Linked DNA regions of Anolis sagrei. The protein of the gene in region 2 interacts with the protein of the main gene of each other region in a biochemical or structural test. Links are inferred from orthologs where the notes say so. Each region holds a gene or a part of one and is shown on either strand. Other genes may lie near its edges.

The links. The genes of interacting proteins can lie anywhere in the genome.
Region 1: the proteins of FZD7 (region 2) and DVL1 form a complex in vitro, tested with the Homo sapiens proteins (2 studies listed by BioGRID and IntAct, with this or other methods). The link is inferred for Anolis sagrei from reciprocal best matches to the Homo sapiens genes FZD7 and DVL1.

The regions. Positions count from the first base shown.
Region 1 is NC_090033.1:5,369,089-5,376,283, forward strand, and holds the start of DVL1 (segment polarity protein dishevelled homolog DVL-1), read right to left. Parts: upstream 3,084-7,195; 5' UTR 3,000-3,083; coding exon 2,830-2,999; intron 1-2,829. UniProt on the Homo sapiens protein: Participates in Wnt signaling by binding to the cytoplasmic C-terminus of frizzled family members and transducing the Wnt signal to down-stream effectors. Plays a role both in canonical and non-canonical Wnt signaling.
Region 2 is NC_090021.1:165,057,036-165,064,494, reverse strand, and holds the start of FZD7 (frizzled-7), read right to left. Parts: upstream 3,088-7,459; 5' UTR 2,594-3,087; coding exon 857-2,593; 3' UTR 1-856. UniProt on the Homo sapiens protein: Receptor for Wnt proteins.

The DNA.
Region 1 (7,195 bases), on a different chromosome or scaffold from region 2:
CAACCAATATGGCCAACTGTGCATACAAGCCTGGTTGGGGGAGGACTGACCCATGATTCTGGGAGTTGTAGTTCACAGGGAGTGGTAGTTCATCTGCATCCAGAGAGCCCTGCATCCAGCCAACAACGAATTGGGACAAAACTTGGCACACAGACCCAACATGGCCAACTGTGCATACTGGCAGTGTTTAGAGGTGATTGCCCTCTGATCTGGGAATTGTAGTTCACCCTTATCCAGGGAGCCTTGTATTCAGCTGATGATGGAACGGGACCAAACTTGGCTCACAGACCCAAGATGGTGAACGGAGATTATTGTCAGGCTTTGGGGGTGATCACTCTCTGATCTGGGAGTTGTAGTTCACCCTTATCCAGATAGCACTGAACCCAACCTGTGACAGATCTGGACCAAACTTGGCGCACACACCCAACAAGGCCAACTGTGCATACAGGCCTAGTTTGGGGAGGCTTGACTCATGATTCTGGGAGTTGTATGATTCCTCTCTGATCTGGGAGTTGTAGTTCGCCCTTATCCAGAAAGCACTGAACCGAGTCGACGACAAATATGGACCAAACTTGGCACACATACCCAACATGGTCAACTGTGCACACGGGCCTGGTTAGGGGAGAATTGACTCATTATTCTGGAAATTGTATGATTCTTCTCTGATCTGGGAATTGTAGTTCGCCCTTATCCAGCAAGCAATAAACCGAGTCGACGACAAATCTGCACCAAACTTGGCACACACACCCAACATGGTCAACTCTGCATACTGGCAGTGTTCGGGGTTGGGTTCGGGGTCTGATCTGGGAGTTGTAGTTCACCCTAATTCAGAGAGCCCTGTATCCCGCTGACGATGGATCGGGACCAAACTTGGCTCTCAGACCCAACATGGTGAACTGAGATTATTGTTAGGATTTGGGGGTGATTGCTCTCTGATATGGGAGCTGTAGTTCACTCTTATCCAGAGAGCACTGAACCCAACCTGTGAGAGATATGGACCAAACTCAGCACACACCCCCAACATGGTCAACTGTGCATACTGACAGTGTTTGGGGGTGAGATTGACTTGCGATTCTGGGAATTGTAGTTCAACCACACCAAATTGAGAACATTTAACATCCAGAAGCAAATAATGCCTATCTCCACCCAAGAGCGACACACTAGTGCTCTGTTCTCTACCCATCGTGGAACAATAACAACAACACGGAAGTCCCCCTAGGCCTGGCTTTCAATTCAATGACCTAGAACTGCATTCTAGGTCTCTCTTTCTCCTCCAGAATAGAATCCAAGCTGATGCCAAAACCTAAGTTAGACCATCCAAGGTACCTCCATCCAAGGTTCCACCATCCAAGGCCCCTCCATCCAAGATCCCTCCATCCAAGGACCCTTCATCCAAGGTGCCTCCATCCAAGGTCCCTTCATCCAAGGCCCCTCCATCCAAGTTCCCACCATTCAAAGTCCCTCCATCCAAGGTCCCACCATCCAAGGTCCCACCATCCAAGGTCCTCCATCTAAGGTCCCTCCATCCTGGGTCCCTCCATCCAAGGTCCCACCATCCAAGGTCCTCCATCCAAGGTACCTCCATCTAAGGTCCCACCATCCAAGGTATCTCCATCCAAGGTCCCACCATCCAAGGTCCCGCCATCCAAGGTCCCACCATCCAGGGTCCCTCCATCCAAGGTCCCACCATCCAAGGTCCCGCCATCCAAGGTCCCACCATCCAGGGTCCCTCCATTCAAGGTCCCACCATCCAGGGTCCCACCAGCTAAGGTCCCACCATCCAGGGTCCCACCATTCAAGGTCCCACCATCCAGGGTCCCACCATTCAAGGTCCCACCATCCAGGGTCCCACCAGCTAAGGTCCCACCATCCAGGGTCCCACCATTCAAGGTCCCACCATCCAGGGTCCCTCCATTCAAGGTCCCACCATCCAGGGTCCCACCAGCTAAGGTCCCACCATCCAGGGTCCCTCCATCCAAGGTCCCACCATCCAGGGTCCCTCCATTCAAGGTCCCACCATCCAGGGTCCCACCAGCTAAGGTCCCACCATCCAGGGTCCCTCCATCCAAGGTCCCACCATCCAGGGTCCCTCCATTCAAGGTCCCACCATCCAGGGTCCCACCAGCTAAGGTCCCACCATCCAGGGTCCCTCCATCCAAGGTCCCACCATCCAGGGTCCCTCCATTCAAGGTCCCACCATCCAGGGTCCCACCAGCTAAGGTCCCACCATCCAGGGTCCCACCATCCAAGGTCCCACCATCCAGGGTCCCTCCATTCAAGGTCCCACCATCCAGGGTCCCACCAGCTAAGGTCCCACCATCCAGGGTCCCTCCATCCAAGGTCCCACCATCCAGGGTCCCTCCATTCAAGGTCCCACCATCCAGGGTCCCACCAGCTAAGGTCCCACCATCCAGGGTCCCACCATCCAAGGTCCCACCATCCAGGGTCCCTCCATTCAAGGTCCCACCATCCAGGGTCCCACCAGCTAAGGTCCCACCATCCAGGGTCCCTCCATCCAAGGTCCCACCATCCAGGGTCCCTCCATTCAAGGTCCCACCATCCAGGGTCCCACCAGCTAAGGTCCCACCATCCAGGGTCCCACCATCCAAGGTCCCACCATCCAGGGTCCCTCCATTCAAGGTCCCACCATCCAGGGTCCCACCAGCTAAGGTCCCACCATCCAGGGTCCCTCCATCCAAGGTCCCACCATCCAGGGTCCCACCATTCAAGGTCCCTCAGTATCAGCAAAGGGAGGGTGAGGTGGGGATGCCAAGGACCAAAAGGGCCCCTTCCCTTCTCCTCCCTCCCTGCCCAGCCCCCCTGACTCACCCAAAATCCTGGTCCATGGACTTGAAGAAGAATTTGTAGCTGTGGACGGGCCGGTTGCTGAGGACATTTTTGAAATCGGCCAGGGTGACTTTTTCCGGGGAGACAGGAAGCTTCACCAGGTAAGGGGTCTCCTCCTCGTCGATGTGGTAGATGATTTTTGTCTCCGCCATGGAAGAAGGAAGGAAGGAAGGAAGGAAAGGAAGGAAGAAGAGGGAAGGGAGGGAAGGGAGGGGGAGCAGAGAGGAGAGGAGAGGAAAAAGGGGGGACCCGGGGGCCGGGGGAAGGAAGGAGGGAGGGAGAGCCAGGCCCAAGGCTCCGCTCCCTGGGAGCCCCTCGCCGACAATGCCCAGCAGGAGGAGGAGGAGGAGGAGGAAGGGGAGGAAGAAGAGGAGGAGGAGCAGGAAGAAGGGAAATGACAGCGCTCAGCCCGGAAAAAAGAGGAAGCCCGCCCCCTAGTGGCCGAACAAGGGCACCGACAGGTAAGGGCACCATGGAAAGAGGGGAGGGAGGGAGGGAGGAGGGAGGGAAGGAAGGAAGGGAGGGAGGGAGGGAGGGTGGGAAGGAAAGAAAGAAAGAAAGAAAGAAAGAAAGAAAGAAAGAAAGAAAGAAAGAAAGAAAGGTAGAAGGAAGAAGGGAGGAGGGAGGAAAGGAAGGAAGCATGGAAGGAAGGGAAGGAGGAAGGAAGGAAGAAAGCGAGGGAGAGAAGGAAGGAAAGAAGGGTGGGACGAAAGAAGGAAGAAGGGAGGAAAAGAAGGGTGGAAGGAAGGAGGGAAGGAGAGAAGGAAAGAAAGAAGGGTAGAAGCAAGAAGGGAGGAGGGAGGAAAGGAAGGAAGCATGGAAGGAAGGGAGGGAGGAAGGAAGGAAGAAAGCGAGGGAGAGAAGGAAGGAAAGAAGGGTGGGACGAAAGAAGGAAGAAGGGAGGAAAAGAAGGGTGGAAGGAAGGAGGGAAGGAGAGAAGGAAAGAAAGAAGGGTAGAAGGAAGAAGGGAGGAGGGAGGAAAGGAAGGAAGCATGGAAGGAAGGGAAGGAGGAAGGAAGGAAAGAAGGGTGGGACGAAAGAAGGAAGAAGGGAGGAAAAGAAGGGTGGAAGGAAGGAGGGCAGGAGAGAAGGAAAGAAAGAAGGGTAGAAGGAAGAAGGGAGGAGGGAGGAAAGGAAGGAAGCATGGAAGGAAGGGAAGGAGGAAGGAAGGAAAGAAGGGTGGGACGAAAGAAGGAAGAAGGGAGGAAAAGAAGGGTGGAAGGAAGGAGGGCAGGAGAGAAGGAAAGAAAGAAGGGTAGAAGGAAGAAGGGAGGAGGGCGGAAAGGAAGGAAGCATGGAAGGAAGGGAAGGAGGAAGGAAGGAAACAAGGAAGGAAGCGAGGGAGAGAAGGAAGGAAAGAAGGCTGGAGCGAAAGAATGAAGAAGGGAGGAAAAGAAGAGTGGAAGGAAGGAGGGAAGGAAGGACAGACTGACTATGGAGCAAAGAAGAATGAGGGAAGGAAGAGGAAGGAATGAAGGGAGGGAGGAAGGAAGTAATGAAGAAGGGAAGGAGGAAGGAAAAAAGCAACAAAAAAAGGAGGGAAGGAAGGACTATGGAGAAAAGAAGAAAGAGCGAATGAGGAAAGGGGAAGGAAGGGGAAGGAAGGAAGGAAGGGAAAGAGAGGGAAAGGAAGGACTATGGAGAAAAGAAGAAGGGAGAGGGAGAGAGTAAGGAAGGAAGGAAGAAGGGAAGGGAGGGAGGGAGGAATTGCTATGAAGAAAAAGAAGGAAGGAAGGAAGGAGGGAAAGAGAGGAAGGAAGGAAGGGCAGACTATGGAGAGAGAAAAGGAAGGAAGGAAAAAAGCAATGAAGAAAGGAGGGAAGGAAGGACTATGGACAAAAGAAGAAAGAGCGAAGGAGGAAAGGGAAAGGAAGGAAAAGGGAGGGAGGGAAAGGAAGGAAGGACTGTGGAGAAAAAAAGAAGGGAGAGAATAAGGAAGGGAGGGAGGAAGAAGGGAAGGGAGGAAGAAGAAAAGGGAGGGTGGGAGGGAAGGAATTGCTGTGAAAAAAGGAGAAGGAAGGAAGGGGAAGGAAAGAAGGAAGAAGGGAGGGAAGGAAGAAGGAAAGAGGGAGGAAGGGAAGGAAGGAATGGCTATGAAGAAAATGAGAAGGAAAGAAAGCAGGACAGAAAGAAAGGAGGGGAAAAGGAAGAAAGTGCTATGCTGATAAAAGGAAGGAGTCAGGAAAGGAAGCAGCTGCAAAGGAGAAAAGAAAGGAGGGAAGAAAAGAAGGAAGGAAGGAAAGGAGGGGGAGAGAAGAAAGGAAGGCAAAGGAAAGGAAGGAATTGCTGTGGAGAAAGAGAGAGGGAGAAAGGAAACAGAAGCTACAATGAAATCCTTTAGTTACTATTTAAGAAACACAGAAGATGCTACATAGAACAAAACACAATCCCATAGTTAAAAAGTAACTTGAAAAGTAACAGTTACATTCCAAAGGGAAGGAAGCAATTCCCTTGTTGAGTGACAAATGTAACACAGCTCTCTCTGGCACTAAACCAGTGTTTTTTCCTAACCTGGGGGTCGGGACCCCTGAGGGGGTCACGAAGGGGTGTCAGAGGGGTCGCCAAAGACCATCAGAAAACACAGTATTTTCTGATGGTCATCTGGAATCCATGTGGGAAGTTTGAGCCAATTCTATAGGTGGAGTTCAGAATGTTCTTTGATTGTAATGAACTATAAATCCCAGCAACTACAACTCCCAAAAGTCAAGGTCTATTTTCCCCAGGCTCCACCAGTGTTCACATTTGCGCATATTGAGTATTTGTGCCAAGTTTGGTCCAGATCCAGCATTGTGTGAGTCCACAGTGCTCTCTGGATATAGGTGAACTACAACTCCCATACTCAAGGTCAATACCCACCAAACCCTTCCAGTGTTTTCCGTTGGTCATGGGAGTTCTGTGTGGCAAATTAGGTTCAAACCCATCGCTGGTGGAGTTCGGAATGCTCTTTGATTATAGGTGAACTATAAATCCCAGCAACTACAACTCCCAAATTACAAAATAAATCCTCCCCAACCCCACTAGGATTTACATGTGGGTGCATTGGGTATTTGTGCCCAGTTTGGTCCAGTGAATGAAAATACATCTTGCATATCCGATATTTAGTTATGATTTATAACAGTAGTAAAATGACTGTTATGAAGTAGCAACAAAAACAATGCTATGGTTGGAGGTCACCACAACATGAGGGACTGGCATTAGGAAGGTTGAGAAACACTGCACCAAACAATTGCAGTGTATAGACAGGACTTTCACTGCTGTGGCTGCCTCCTGGGATATGTAGTTTTGTGGCACACTAGAGCAGTGTTTCTCAAACTGGGGGTCAGAACACCTGGGGGGGGGAGGTCAAGAGGGAATTTCAAAGGGGTCACCAAGGAATATCAGAAAACATATATTTCTGATGGTCTGATGAACCCCTTTGGCAGAGAAGGCTGAAGATCTCTCCACCTGTCCTGCTCTTCCTTTTTGGAAACAGACCCCAAATCCTCCCACCGAAAGCCCTCCTCTGCTGTGATTGGCCAGCCTCTCAGCCAAGGGGAGGGCTGTTTCTGAGACTCCAAGCAGGGAGGGGAGAGCAGGCGTGCTCAGCACATGGCAGCATGGCATGCAGTGTGTGTGAGGGAGAGCGTGCGAGGCTGGAGGGAAGCATGTGCTAGCATGTCTCTTCAAGGCATAGCCATCCTCCGCTGTGATTGGCCGGCTTCTCAGCCAAAGGGAGGGCTGTTTCTGAGACTCCAAACAGGGGAGCGGAGAGCAGGCGTGCTCGGCGAATTCTCCCACCAAAAGCCCTCCTTCCTCCACTGTGATTGGCCAGCCTCTCAGCCATGGGGAGGGCTGTTTCTGAGACTCCAAGCGAGGAGGGGAGAGCAGGCATGCTCAGCACATGGCAGCATGGCACACAGTGCGAGCGAGGGAGAGCATGCGAGGCTGGAGGGAAGCTCGTGCCAGCATGTCCCTTCAAGGCATAGCCGTCCTCTGCTGTGATTGGCCGGCATCTCAGCCAAGGGAAGGGCTGTTTCTGAGACTCCAAGCAGGGAGGGAGAGCAGGTGTGCTTGGCCCATGGCAGCATGGTGCGCACGTGCAGGTCAGGGAGAGCGTGTGAGGCTGGAGGGAGTCCCACACCAGAGAGCCCCTTTAAGGCATGGAGATTCTGTGTGGGACGTTTGGCCAAATTCTATCATTGGTGAGATTCAGAATGCTCATTGATTGGAGATGAAATATAAATCCCAGCAACTACAACTCCCAAATGACAAAATCAATCCCCCCATGTTATGGTTGGGGGTCACCACGACATGAGGAACTGGATTAAGGGGTCGTGGCATTAGGAAGGTTGAGAAACACTGTTTTATA
Region 2 (7,459 bases):
GAGCTTGGGAAAAAGGTTATCATTACTAGATGAAAACCGCCAGAATCCAATGGCCACCAGTTGGAGATGCCATCCAAAACAGTAATTATAATTATTTTAACTAGAGTTTTCAGAGCATCTCTGCCTTTGGGTTCTGGAAATTGTCATCCATATGTGACTACCACCCACTCCCCTATAATATCCAGAATCCTCCCAACCAGGATAGCTACTGATGGGGAAATTTTCGGAGCAGCTGCTCCATTTCTGTCCCTTGTACAAAGGGCTGGGAGGGAGGCAATGCACCTCTTGGGTCTATATTTTGAGAGGATGAGTTACTGGAAGTCCAGTTTGCCATCCCAGAGACAGAAATGTGACTTAATTTCTGTTTTGTTTGTAAACCTTCACTTCTCCCTCCCTCTCCTTTCCCGTTGGCATAATTCCCACATTTCTCTTTGAATCGCATTTTCAGTTATTTGTCTTTCTTCTTTTTCTTTTCTAAAAGGGGTTGGGGTGCAGGGTGGGGGGAACAAGTAGAGGAAAGTAAAGACATTCTCACAGGATCAGAAACAGACCTGTTCTGAAGAGCAAAGTCTTAAGAAGGACACTTATTCTGCACTCTCCAACTTGGCTAGCAAGGTAAACATTTGAAGAGAAAGAGAGACCAAGTTGGAATGTTTGCCGCACGTAGAAATCCAACCATCCCTTGGAAAGAGGAAAAGGCAGAGTATGAAGGAACAACGGACCCCTTTGCACGTACGCAAACACACACACATCACAGCCACCCTCCCTCTTTCCTTCAGGCAATGCCTTCGCCACAAGAAGGAAGAGCAGCCGTGTGGGAAAGGACCGGCAAACTATAGGAGTACAAGTCTAGGTCTCATACTGCCGTCTCCCCTTTGCTCCCAGTGCTGAGTCTGTGGTAGAAGCGCCGCCAAGACTGGAGGGTCTTGCCAGTCCAAATCCAGAAGCCGGTGGTGATGCCCACAATCATGGTCATGAGATACTTGATGAGGAAGACTGTGAAGTCAGGGCTCATGGGGGCGAAGTTGGCGGCAGGGCAAGTGATGGCGTAGCTCTTGCAGTTCTGCAGGAGCCAGGTCTTCTCCCAGGTGTCCTGGAAGGCCTGCTCGTAGAAGTAGCAGGCCAGCACGATGGTGGCCGGCACGGTGTAGAGGACGCTGAAGACCCCGATACGCACCATCAGCTTCTCCAGCTTCTCAGTCTTGGTGCCGTCGTGCTTCATGATGGTCCGGATGCGGAAGAGGGAGACAAAGCCGGCCAGCAGGAAGGAGGTGCCAATGAAGAGGTAGACGAAGAGTGGGGCCAGGACGAAGCCCCGCAGGGCGTCCACGCTGTAGAGGCCCACATAGCACACCCCGCTGAGGACGTCTCCATCCACCTGCCCCATGGCCAGGATGGTGATGGTCTTGATGGCTGGCACAGCCCAGGCGGCCAAGTGGAAGTACTGGGAGTTGGCCTCAATGGCCTCGTGGCCCCACTTCATGCCTGCCGCCAGGAACCAGGTGAGTGAGAGGATGACCCACCAGATGGAGCTGGCCATGCCAAAGAAGTAGAGGATCATGAAGAGGATGGTGCAGCCCTCCTTCTTGGTGCCCTGCACCACTGTCCGGAAGCCATCCTCCGAGAAGCGCTCCACGCACACCACACGGTCCTCTAGCAGGAAGCCAGCCACATAGGCCACAGCCACCATGAAGTAGCAGCCAGAGAGGAAGATGATGGGCCGTTCGGGGTAGCTGAAGCGCCGCATGTCCACCAAGTAAGTCAAGACGGTGAAGAGCGTGGAAGCGCAGCAAAGCACCGACCAGATGCCCACGAGCAGGCGGGCAAAGCGGACCTCGGCCTGCTTGAAGTACATGAGTCCTCCGTTGGGCAGGTCAGGATCGCATGGGGCGCCACAATCCCGCTCACCTAGGAAGCGGTAGCCCAGGTACGGGGGCACCTTGAGCTGCCGGGGACAGGAGAAGGTGAAGGTGGCGTGACCGGTGGTGGGAGGCAGTGGGTGAACAGGGGGTCCGGGTAAGTGTTCTGTGGGGTACGAGGCGGTGGCAGGGCTCCCCGGGGCGACGCCTGCTCCACGCCCTCCTCCCCCGGAGGATGAGGTGTCGGAGGTGTTCTGTCCCACGCAGATCTCCCCAGCGCCGTGGACGGGGAAGTTCTCACAGCGCAGGCGCTCGGGCCACTGGAAGCCAAACTTGTTCATGAGGGCCTCGCAGCCGTGGCGGGCCCTCTCGCAGAGGGAGCGGCAGGGCGGGATGGCTTGCTCCAGGACGGTGCAGACCGGGGCGTACATGGAGCAGAGGAAGAAGCGCAGCTCCGGGGAGCACTGCACCTTGACCAGCGGGTAGAACTGGTGCACCTCCAGGCCGGCATCCTCCTGGCTGGTGTGGCCCAGCAGGTTGGGCAGGATGGTCTGGTTGTAGGCAATGTCGGTGCACAAGGGGATGGAGATGGGCTGGCAGAAGCCGTGGTCCGGCACCGAGATGCCCTTCTCGCCCTGCGAAGAAGAAGAAGAAGGCTGCCCACGGCTGGCATGGGGCATCAGCCAAGCTAAGGCCAGCAGACCCCACAGGCCCATGGCTGCTGCCCTGAGCATTGGGGGATGGGGAAGAGGCCAAAGAGGAGGAGGATGCCGGAGGATTGTCAGAGGATGGTGCTGCTGCTTCTCCCACTCAGGGCCCCGAAGGCATCGCCCACTCAGCAGCAGGAGGAGCCTTCCAGAAGAAGCCAAACCGGATCGCTGCCTGTTTGGACTCCCGCCAGGAGGGAGAAGCACCAGGGCGCCTCTCCAAAGCCAAAGCAGGTCTCCCCTCGGTCTCTCCTTCTCGGCACCCTTGGAAGACCCACCTCCAAAAGTTTCCTCGCGTGGAGAAGCCCCGCACTCCCAAGAGCGCCCTTCCTCCTCCTCCTCCGGGACTTCTCGGCAGCTTCTCCTCGCTTTTGAATGCAAAGGCTCCAAGGGAAGCCGCTTGGGAGTCTCCCTCCGCCTGGCGATCGCTCCCTCGGCCCCTCCGCAGGGATCCAGATCCAGAGAAGGAATGCGCCCTGAGACCTCCCTCCTCCTCCTCCTTCTCTCTCTCTCTCTCTCTCTCTCTGCGAGGGAAAAAAAGGCTCCTATATGGCTGAGCGTTCTCTCTAGCCCCGCCCCTTTCTCCCCTTCTCCATTCACAAGACCGAGAAGGGGGCGGCGTCTCCGAACCCTTGCTCCGGCCAATGGCGCGCTCTGTTGTCTCCACAACTCGGCTCCGGATTGGGCAGGGCGATCAAAGGAGGGGAGGGGCGGGGAGGAATGTGGGCGGGGCCTGCCTTAGGAGGATTCCATCGCTGGAAAAGTTGAAAGAAACTTTTTCGCCCAGGGTTGGCTGAATGGAGATGGAGGGAAGCAACGCAGAACAAGAGGAGGAAGGGGAGCCCGTTGGTCTTCCTTCTTCACACAGAGAGAGATATATATATCCTATGTACCTAATATTTTACATATAGATACTATATAAATATTACATATATATATATCCTAATATTTTACATATAGATACTATATTAATATTATAGATATACATATATACTATATATACTATATATATCCTACCTAATATATACATATATCCTATATAAATCTCTCTCTCTCTCTCTCTCTCTATATATATATCCTACCTGATATTTTACATATATATGCTATAGAAATGTTATATAAATACATACATATGATATATATATATATATATCCTACGTAATATTTTACATATACATCCTATAGAAATATTATATAAATACATATGATATATATATCCTACATAATATTTACATATATATCCTATAGAAATATTATATTTATATATATCCTACATAATATTATATATATATATCCTATAGAAATCTCCTATATATATATATATCTCCTATGTAATATTTTACATATCTATCCTATAGAAATATTATATATATATTCTATATATGCCCTACCTAATATTATATATATATATTCTATATAAATATTATATATATACATATTATATATATATCCTATGTAATATTTTACATATCTATCCTATAGAAATATTATATATATATATTTATATATATATTTATCCTACCTAATATTTTACATATATATCCTATATAAATCTCCTAGAAAAATACATATATATATATACTATATATATCCTACCTAATATTTTACATATATATCCTATAGAAATGTTATACATATACATATGATATATATATCCTATGTAATATTTTACATATACATCCTATATAAATATTATATAAATACATATATATATCTTACATAATATTTTACATATATATCCTATATAAATATTATATATATATCCTACCTAATATTATATATATATTCTATATAAATCTCCTATATATATATATATATATCCTATGTAATATTTTACAAATATATCCTATATAAATATTATATATATATATACACATATTATATATATATATATATATATATATATATCCTATGTAATATTTTACATATCTATTCTATAGAAATATTATATATATATATATATATATATATATATATATATATATAAATCCTACCTAATATTTTAAAGAGCCCCGGTGGCACAGTGGGTTAAAGCAGGTTCGAATCCGGGTAGCAGTGTGAGCTTCCACTGTTAGCCCCAGCTTCTGTCAACCTAACAGTTCGAAAACATGCAAATGTGAGTAGATCTATAGGTACCGCTCCGGTGGGAAGGTAACGGTGCTCCATGCAGTCATACTGTCCGCATGACTTTGGAGGTGTCTACAGACAACGCCGGCTCTTCGACTTAGAAATGGAGATGAGCACCACACCCCAGAGTCGGACACGACTGGACTTCATGTCAGGGGAAAATCTTTACCTTTACCTACCTAATATTTTACATATATATCCTATATAAATATTATATAAATATATATATTCTATATATAACATTACATTATATGTGTGTGTGTGTGTGCATATATATATATATATATATATATATATCCTATGTACCTAACATTTTACATATATATCCTATATAAATATTATATAAATATATATTATATATAACCTAGTATTTTACACACACACACAATATATATATTGTCATGTCAGGAGCAGGAGCATCCTGTTGTGAGAGAATTGGCTGTCTGCAAGGACGTTGCCCAGGGGACGCCAGATGATTTTTGATGTTTTATCATCCTTGTGGGAGGCTTCTCTCATGTCCCCGCATGAGGAGCTGGAGCTGATAGAGGGAGCTCATCCGCCTCTCCCCGGATTCGAACCTGCAACCTGCCGGTCTTCAGTCCTGCCGGCACAGGGGTTTAACCCACTGCGCCACCGGGGGCTCCCACATATATATATATATATATATATATATATATATATATAATATGTAAAATATTAATATTTGTAATGTTTTTATTCCAGCAAGAGCAGCTATTTTTGTTGTTGCTGTTATGTTATGTTCTGTTCTTATATGTTTTCAGTCATTGCAATAGTTCTATTTTAAGCTATGTTAATTTGACCTATGTAGTATATTTTGGATATTGTTTTAACAGTTACTTGCTGTAAGCCACCCTGAGTCCCTTCTGCGAGAGAGGGCGGGATATAAATCAAACCTATTATTATTTTATTATTATTTACAACAAACTCCCATTGCTCCATCCTTTGCACAATAACATCCTATAAGATCAGGATCTACCCTCAGGGTGGTCCAAAATACTGTTTGTTAAAATTATCATTAGTTAAATGCATGCATGAAGCTCCTCTCCTTTCTCCTCCCCTACCAGGGCCAGGAAATGTATTATAGATTGGACTGTTGGGGGGCAGGGGGAATAGGATGTGATTTGAATATATAGAAAGAAGGAAGGGCAGGAAAAATGTTCAGAATTAATAAAAAGGAAGGCTATGCTGAAGGGTGAACTGAGTGAGGCTTGAAGCAGTTTTTTTTTAAAAAAATGCGTACACTATATATTGGATTTTGTCTGGGAGAACAATTATTTCTCTGCAAATCAATTGATCCATGGTGCGCAGCTGCCCTCTTGATGTCAAACAGATAAACAAATTTAACCTTGAGCAGCTCCTTTTTTAAAAAAAATGGTAATCTCACAGAAGTGCAGACACTCACTCCTTCCTTCGACATCTTATCTTTCAGAAATGTTATTTTACCGAAATTCAGCTATACAAAGCGCTTAAAGCTCCTTCCCCTTGCCATATTAGCTTTAGTTTATATCTGGAATAGTGTTTGCAGATTTGGTTTAGTTTCTGGGTCCTCAATGAGACAATAGTAATGGAGAGGGGTTTTATTTGTGCCAGGAGCAACTTGAGAATCTGCAAGTCGTTTCTGGTGTGAGAGAATTGGCTGTCTGCTAGGTTGTTGCCTAGAGGTTGCCCGGATGTTTTACTTTCCTGTGGGAGGCTTCTCTCATGCCCCTGCATGAGAAGTTGGATCTGACAGATGGGAACTTACCCTGCTCCCTGGATTCGAACCGCCGACCTTTTGGTCAGCAGGCCTCCCAGCACAAGGGTTTAACCCATTGCACCACTGGAGGCTCCAGTCAGGAGTAAATAGCCTGAAGAAGGCAGCCTCCATGTTTTGTGAAGACATGATGGCTTCCATCATAATTTCACCTTTTAGTGGTCTGAGCATTGGTCTGGAGATTGGGGTTCGGATCCCAACTCAACCATTTAAACCTTCTGAGGTCCCTTCCACACTGCCATATAAAATCAAGATGATCTGATTTGAACTTAATTATATGGCAGTGTAGACTCATAAATAATAATAATAGTAATAGTAATAATAATAATAATAATAATAAGCTGACACGATATGAGGATTTAAAGATCGAACTACAAAGACTCTGGCACAAGCCAGTCAAGATGGTCCCAGTGGTGATTGGCACACTGGGTGCAGTGCCTAAAGACCTTGGCCTGCACTTAAACACAATCGGCGCTGACAAAATGACCATCTGCCAGCTGCAAAAGGCCACCTTACTGGGATCTGCACCCATTATTCGCCGATACATCACACAGTCCTAGACACTTGGGAAGTGTCCAACGTGTGATCCAATTCAACAGCCAGCAGAGTGTCTGCTGTGGACTCCTTGTTGTGTTTCTAATAATAATAATAATTATTATTATTATTATTATTTATTTATTTATTTACTGTATTTGCATACCATCTTTCTCAGCCAATTGGCGACTCAAGGCAGTTTCCAACAAATCAGTATACATAAAGCAAGCCCAGGAAGTTACAATAAGGCAAAATAAAGTAATCCAGTTTGCAGAAGATAATGTGGATTATCTGATTTGATAATATGGATTACATGGCAGTGTAGAAGGGGCCTCAGAGGGGGAAGAGAGGAAGGAAGGGAGTCAAAGGGATCTGGGAGAATCTACACTAGTTTTCCAAAGTCACTTCTGTTACTGGTGGGGCAACATCACATAGTTTATTTTAAAGCATATTTTCAA